Linked DNA regions of Callithrix jacchus. Each later gene encodes a partner of the first gene's protein in a complex. Links are inferred from orthologs where the notes say so. Each region holds a gene or a part of one and is shown on either strand. Other genes may lie near its edges.

Region 1 (3,500 bases):
GGCCACATGCATCTTCTCCCTTGAGGCCCAGCAGCCCACCTCCATCCCACCCTCGCCCCACGAAGGAAAGAGCCCCAGAGTAGGCAGGGGACTCACTGCTTTCCTCCTCCCTCTGACTGCTTTCTCTCCTCCCTCCTGCTGCAGTCTCCTTCTCACCAGTGGGTGAGTAGCCCAGGGTGGAGGGCAGGTTCTGCCTGGTCTCTGGCACCGAGGCCAGGGTAGAAGGCACAGCTGAGCTGATCCCCGAGAGGCCAGCTGGGGGCAAGGTTGGAGGGTTGCTAGAGGCGACAGGGTGCGCCGAGGCCCACATTTCCTGTCCTGTGTCCCCACAGACACTAACAGCACATCTGGAGACCCAGTGGAGAAGAAGGACGAAACCCCTTTTGGGGTGAGACAGGAAGTAGAAGCTTGCGCAGACCTTGGGATGGGGAGGCTGGGTGGAGGCTCATCCGAGCATCATTTCTGGTCTGAGCTGAGAGATCGCTACCGTCTGGCCTGAGCTCTGTCTGCCACCCTCACAGCCACTGCGTGGGGTCCCCAGGGGAGGGGAGGTGGGTCTGGAGGTCTGGCTCTGGGCTCTCCTGCAGGGTTAAGATATGGCTTGCGATGGGCATCTCTGAGAGTGCAGGAGAAACCCCTGGGTCTAACTGCCTGCCTTCCTCTCCTCTGCCCCAGCAGGTCTCGGTGGCTGTAGGCCTGGCCGTCTTTGCCTGCCTCTTCCTTTCGACGCTGCTCCTTGTGCTCAACAAATGGGGACGGAGAAACAAGTTTGGGATCAACCGTGAGTTGGAGCTGCACAGGGCTGTCTGTCTGTCTATCTGTCTGTTCTGGCTTGGTTTCTACGGGCTCTTCCTGACTATGTCTCTGTCTCGGGGCTGTCCACACGGGAGTTCCAGGGCGTGTGAGTGTGTGGGGGTATAAATGAAGGCCTGGCTGTGAGGCTTGTGTGAGTGTGTGTGTGAGTGTGTGTCGGGCTGGTGCTGGGGTCGTTTCAGAGGCGGCAGCTGCTAATTGGTGGCTGGATTGTAGTCAAGCACTAAGTGGGTCTGGGAGGTCTGGGCTCTGTGGGGGTGAGGGGGGAGTTCTTTGGTGCCCATGGGGCCAGGGGTGGGACAGGAGCCAGCACAGGGAGAGGCGGTGGTGCCCCCTCCCCCTCCCCCCTGCCTGCTATCTCACTCCCTAGCTCCTCAGTCTCTCCCCTGCAAGTTACAAGGTGGGGGTGACCAGGCATCCTGCAGGCAAGGATGGGAAGGGCCAAGGTGTGGGCAAACCCTTCATGTGTCTGTGTCTCCTCCCCAGGCCCGGCTGTGCTGGCTCCAGAGGACGGGCTGGCCATGTCCCTGCATTTCATGACATTGGGTGGCAGTTCCCTGTCCCCCACTGAGGGCAAAGGCTCTGGGCTCCAAGGCCACATCATCGAGAATCCACAATACTTCAGTGATGCCTGTGAGGGGCCATGCTGGGTCAAGGGCAGGGGCGAGTGTGTGTGTGTGTGTGTGTGCACGCAGGTGTGCGTGTGCTGCCCTTACCCACCAAAACCTGAACCATCCCTCCCTTTCCAACCCTATTCCAGCCATAGCCCCTGTCATATTCTCAGGCTGAGCTCAGACTGGCTCTTACTAGCAGCCCCACCTGGAGCCACAGCTAGCCCGAACCATGTCCTCTCTGGGCAGATGCAGCCCCACACTATGACATGGGGCTTGGTGAATTTCAGCCCCCACATAGCCCCTTGTCTGGGCAGCCTTGTGCAGCACACATCTCGGCCAAGACAGTCCCCCCTTACAACCCCAGCCCTCCTGAGACTGGGGCTCCACCTGACCCTGCAAGCCCCTCAGGTGTTCATCACATCAAGCGCCGGGACATCGTGCTCAAGTGGGAGCTGGGCGAGGGCGCCTTTGGGAAGGTCTTCCTTGCTGAGTGCCACAACCTCCTGCCTGAGCAGGACAAGATGCTGGTGGCCGTCAAGGTGAGACCCTGCCCAAGAGGCACCGCTGGCCTGGGTCCCACCCCCAGGAGCTCCATGACATCAGGACAGAGTGGGGACAGATGCCGAGGGCTGACGTGGCTGGAGTGTCACTGATGGCCAGCAGTGAGGGCTGGGCCCCCACCTAGTCCTGTCCCTGCCCCTTCCATGCAGGCCCTGAAGGAGGTGTCGGAGAGTGCCCGGCAGGACTTCCAGCGCGAGGCCGAGCTGCTCACCATGCTGCAGCACCAGCACATCGTGCGCTTCTTCGGGGTCTGCACCGAGGGCCGCCCCCTGCTCATGGTCTTTGAGTATATGCGGCACGGGGACCTCAACCGCTTCCTCCGGTACCAGTCCCTGGCTCTGGGCCCCGTCATCCCTCCCCGATAAGCACAACCCTGCTTGTCTTTCCAACCAAGGGGAGACACCAAGGAGGATCAGGAGGGCACATTCCCATCCCCGAGTCCCCAGGGAGCTCTGAGACGATAGAGGAGGCAGATGTGTGAATGGGGGGTAACTCTTGCAAAGGACAAGTGTCAGTAGTCAGCGGGGTTGCGATGGCCAAGACCATGAGCTAAAACTCTGGGGTGAGTGGGCTTCGCAGAAGGTGTATGTGCATGTGTGTGGCACACAAGGGCCAGGCCTGTAAGGGTGGCAGTTTAATAATGACAATAGGAACAGTAACGAGCACGGATAAGGCACCTTCCATGTTCAGGTGCTGTTATATCCTTTACAATTTATTCTTTTTTATTTTTAAAAATGTATTTATTGTTATTGTTTTAGAGCTGGGTCTTGCTCTCTTGCCTAGGCTGGAGTGCAGCCTCAGACCCCTGGGCTCAAGCGATTCTCCCACCTCAGCCTCCCCAGTAGCTGGGGCTACGGGTGCACCTCACTGCACCTGGCTCTACAATTCGTTCTTATTATGGTTCTGTGTGCTGGTACAAAAATATCTTGTACAGTAATACAAACATGTATTTATTTTTATGGCCTCCAGGCATATATTGCAATTTATACTTGAAGCACGTTACAAAAAAATTCATTTCTTTGGCTTTGGACAGAACAACTCTGATATGTTTCACTATTTGTGCTGATAATTTTCATAGCTTCGAGAAACGTGCCTGTTTCACAGATATAAGCCTTAGAGAGGTTCTGAGACTTGCCTGAGTGCATACAGGTGGCAAATGGTCCAGGGGTCGTGTGACCGCGGGCACAGCTCCTACTCTCAACCCCTATGCGATGGGCATCGGTTCCCTCGGTGGAGTCCTTCCCTGATGAGATCGCTCCCGTGAGGATGGGGCGGTGTTTGTAAGGCAGGGAGAAGCGGGTTTGGAATCAGCTGCCACTTAAGAGCTGAGCCTTTTTTGCCAAGTAACTTTCTTTTCTGACCTCACTTTCCTCACCAGTCAGAGGGACAATGAGCAGGGGCTGTGGATCTGGATGAGCAACTGCTGTGTGGTTGGGAGTGATGGATCATTTATGCAGTCAGGCTGCTGCAGGACTCAGATAGGAGGGACCCCTGAGTCTTGAGCTTATCCTG
Region 2 (4,039 bases), on another chromosome or scaffold:
CTCCTTTGTGGCATCCACACGGGGTAGAGGTCCAACCTACCTTTGCTAAAGGAAGAAATGAAGACACAAACAAGCTCAACACAGGAGGAAGTGGGGCTGGAAATTTCCAAAGAGCTAAGAGTCCCCTGGAATGTTACAATTAATGATGCACATTTGGTGACAAATCTGATTTCAGGGATATTTCTCCCTTGCTAGTTTTAGGCTGGGGTGGGAACAGCCCTGGCAGAGGGGCAGGGGTAAGTCAGGCAAGGTACCCTGCCAGGCTGAATCCAGGGAACTCAAGAAATCTTAGAGGGTCAGGAAAAAGATTCCACTTCACTTAAGGTGGAGCAGTGAGAATAAAGGGGAATTTGTATGGGTCCTGGAATGTGGAAAGAGGAGCATGCGGGTCTGGGCAGAAAGTTAGGTGGCTATGTCAGTCTGGGGTCACAGACCCGTTGCAAAACTGACAAAAGCTGTGGACCTTTGACACAGAGAAGAATATTAGCCCTGCACACAGCCGCGCACAAATCAGCCTACAGTTTCGGAGGGGCCAGGGACCCGGAAGCTCCTGGAACCCAGGGCCTTAAGTTAAGGTCGGGGTCTAGCACCTGACTCCTGAAGTCCTCTGCCCCTTATCCCATGCTGGACTCGCTGGCACCTGGGGGCCTTCTAGCTGGTTCTGCCGCCGCCTTCCCTTGTCAGAGGAGCTTGGGCACCTGGCCGTCGCAGAGCTTCCCCTGGGTGCTCACCTATCCCGGGATGAGGAAAAGCACCCCGGAAGAAAAGCTCCCTTAGACCATCGGTGCGGGGAGCAGCCGATGCCAGGGGCACCGAGGGCGATGCTGGGCAGACCAGGGAGGCGCTGGCGACGGGCAACGCGTGGGGGCAGGGCGAGGGGGTGAAGGAAGCTGCGAGCAACTCCGCCCAGCCCCAGGCAGTCGGCGCAACGACCCCCGCCGGTGCCCCAGAAAATCCCCCTCCCAGCTTTGTGCGCGCGGCCCCTCAGGCCCCAGTGGGTTTCCCTTTGACCTCTGGAGGTTTAAAGTCCTTCTCTGGCTGGGTCTGGCTAACCCTCCAGGAGCGATCGGTCTCTAGTCCCCAAGACCCCCTCCAGCCGGGCACCACCGCTCAGCCACAGCAGGTGCGGGGCTGAGGGTGGGGAGGGGAGGGATGGGGGCCAGGATTGGAGTGTGTGTGACTCAAGAGTCCGGGAGGAGGGGCTAAGAATTCAAGAAGCCTGTGTGAGAGCAGCTCGGCGCTCCGGCACAGCAGAGAGCGCTGGGAGCCGGAGGGGAGCGCAGCGGTGAGTCAGGCTGCCCCGAGCCGATCCCGAGAGGGGCGCAGCGCGGGCGCGGGCCGGGGTGACTGGGCTTCTCGGGGAAGTATGCAAGGATACCGGTCTGGTGAGCTCTCTGGTTAACCCCCGAGGCTCCCGAGGGCCGAAGAGCAGCCCTAAGAAATGTCCCAAGTGGGTGTGGGGGCGCGGGACCCTCGCGGGAGGACGAGTCGGACCGAGGGAGCAGCGTTCGTTCTGGTCGTGGAGTTCCTAGTCCCGGGATGGCCTGCGGTCCAGGGGGCAGCCCTGGCGTCTGCAGAAGCCCACAGCCATGCCATGGTCCAGCTCGAGGGCTGTAAGTGGATAACGCACAAGAGAGGGAGAGCGAATGGGCGCGGAGAGGGATGCGCGGGCAGCAGGCGCACGGGGCGGGAGGAGTGGTGGCCTTCACCGAGGGGGCAGCGCAGAGCGCGCGGGCCGAGGTGCGCGCCGAGTCGGGGAAAGTGCTGTGCTGCCCCCAGGTAGGGGAACTGGCGGGCAGGTCGGCTAGACCTAGGGCAGTTCCCTCCGCGTGACTGGAAGGGCTGGGAGTCGGGACTGGGGGGCCTGGGGACTAATGCAGGAAGCCTGCGAGCCAAGGTCGGGGTCCGTCCGGCATACCAGAGCCCTCCATGGAGCGGAGCTGGACAACCTCAGGCAGAGGTCGCCAAGGTTCAGCCCTGCCACTTGGGCCACACGCTTCATCTCCAGCTGTCTGCTGCCAGGTGTGGGAGAAGCTGGCGTGGAAGGTTGGGGCGGGCGGCACTTGGGTTCAGGCGAGGAGGATCTAGGGGAGGGAGAGAGAACTCAGGGGTCAGGGAACTCCAACTTTGAGCCCGCAGAAACAAGCAGCTTAGCAGCTCCCTCTAATTACAAACCTCCTTCTTAAAAAAAAAAAACTCCAAGATTCTTAAGGAAGGTGTTTCGCGCTTGAGCTTTTTCTTCTCTTGTGATTTGAGAGATTAAAAAAGAACCTGCTTGCTAGGCTGGTTTTTGCAAGTTGTTCCAGGTTGGAAGTTGTAACAGTTCGAAGGATAATTTATGAGTTTTCATGCATTAAAGTGTATTACAGCAAAGCCTTTTGGGTGCTGTGGGCATTAAGGAAAACTTAGTGCACGTTCCCAGCTGGAAACCAAAATAGTGCTCTCCTGGGTGCCTCTGCCCCATCTGTCATCCGAGGCCAATGAAAATCCTGTAGAAAAGGCACTTGATTAATTGTCCTGGCTCCATCCTCTGGGCACACCCACCGCCAGTGCCAGTCCCCTCCTTTCCAATCCATGCACAGCCAGCTGCATTCTGCAAATGTAGAAATGACAGTGGAGGCCCCACCAGTAACTTCTCTCCAGGGTCTTCAAACTCTTGAAGCTGTCAGTTAGGTCTGCTGGAGGGGAGTCTTTCCCCTTCTCCAGGCAGGGCAGAAGGGCAGCAGCCACTGGCCCCTGCCAGCCCTTCTCACCCTGTGTTCACCGTTTCCTCCTGAGTGTCTGAAACTTTCTCCCTCTGCAGAATCACAGAAGAAAGGCTATATCAAACCTGATGAGTCTCTTTTGTTCAATAAGTCATATGTCAACCTGAGCAACCCAAATGTCCATTCATGATGGGCATGTTCCCAGAGGGTCAGAGGAGTAGGGCGGGTCTGGGGGCTGAGGCTGGCCTGGCTGGAATTGACTCACATAAAAAGTGAACGTTCCTCTTGATGAAGGGGGATAATGTCATATGTGGCCAAACTCTTACCCCACTCTTTCCCCAACGTCATTTATGTGGGTGAAAAAGAGAATCCTTGAAGCGGGGGGAAAGGGGGGTAAGCACCCAAAATAGGAAGCCAAGATCACTGGGGCATGAGAACAGTAGTTTGACAGATGTATAGGAGTACCTCAGATGATTTTATAACAAGCTGCTGGCACCACTGCATTTCTGACAGCAGCCCAGGCTCACCAGGAAAATGGAGAACTAGGCCCACTCAGGGCAGGCATTCCAGTGTTGGTGGCTCTTTCCCTACTTTTAACCCTTACCAAGGAATGAGGTTCTTGCCTTCTTCTATTGCCCACCCCAAAACTCCCCCACCCCAAGGACCAGTGGGAGCAAGAGATGAGGCTTCACAGTCTCATTCTCTTTCAGGGAGAAATCTGTGCCTTGGCTAAGAAGGGGGCCCTGGCTGCCGACATCAGCAGGGAGAGTAGGGTAGGGCAGGGCAGGGCTGGAGCCCGAGGGAAGTTTCTCATCATTACCAAGATTAAACTGATGAAAAAAACCACACAACTTTACTTTTTAAAGTGTGCTGAGCACTCCTGCTGCTCATTCATGGAGTGCTGTACTGCATCAGAGCAGCAGGGAAACTCCACAGAGATTCGGCCACTGCTCTTCTTTACTGGGCATGGAGCAGGGCCAAGGCCCAGATCCCCAAGCAGATGTCAGTGTCAGACCCCGGACTAGAGGCCCAGCCATATACCTTTTCCCAGTAAGAACTTTCAGGGACTTTAGAGTCTAGAGCAAGCCTTAGAGACCTTTGCTGGCAGCAAATCCTCTGCTCTCAGGAGGCAATGGAAGGTTTGCTGAGGGCTTCCATAAAAATCTCTGGATATCTGTGTACAAATAACACATACTCCCAGAAAAACACCTTTCTGTGACACAGAAAGAATTCCTGTGTCTTTCTTTGGCTTGCACCTCTGATCTCACAAACTATCAGCTCTCAGGCTTAGCCAGTACCGAGAAATCAATTCTGTGGTGGATCATTTTGAAAAA

The links. Proteins that work in one complex are often made in the same cells at the same time.
Region 2: the proteins of NTRK1 (region 1) and NGF are in contact, whole or in part, in a crystal structure (PDB 1WWW), measured with the Homo sapiens proteins. The link is inferred for Callithrix jacchus from reciprocal best matches to the Homo sapiens genes NTRK1 and NGF. Residues at the interface, in NP_002520.2 of Homo sapiens: His291, Val294, Glu295, Met296, His297, Cys300, Pro302, Phe303, Ser304, Leu333, Glu334, His343, Gly344, Cys345, Arg347, Thr352, His353, Met379, Asp380, Pro382; in NP_001424474.1 of Homo sapiens: His125, Pro126, Ile127, Phe128, Arg130, Gly131, Glu132, Phe133, Ser134, Ser138, Ser140, Trp142, Tyr173, Phe175, Arg180.

What each region holds. Positions count from the first base shown.
Region 1 is NC_133519.1:17,273,666-17,277,165, forward strand, and holds part of NTRK1 (high affinity nerve growth factor receptor), read left to right. Parts: intron 1-144; coding exon 145-162; intron 163-332; coding exon 333-388; intron 389-678; coding exon 679-781; intron 782-1,299; coding exon 1,300-1,446; intron 1,447-1,835; coding exon 1,836-1,966; intron 1,967-2,137; coding exon 2,138-2,310; intron 2,311-3,500. UniProt on the Homo sapiens protein: Receptor tyrosine kinase involved in the development and the maturation of the central and peripheral nervous systems through regulation of proliferation, differentiation and survival of sympathetic and nervous neurons.
Region 2 is NC_133508.1:153,317,312-153,321,350, reverse strand, and holds the start of NGF (beta-nerve growth factor), read left to right. Parts: upstream 1-1,239; 5' UTR 1,240-1,539; coding exon 1,540-1,613; intron 1,614-4,039. UniProt on the Homo sapiens protein: Nerve growth factor is important for the development and maintenance of the sympathetic and sensory nervous systems.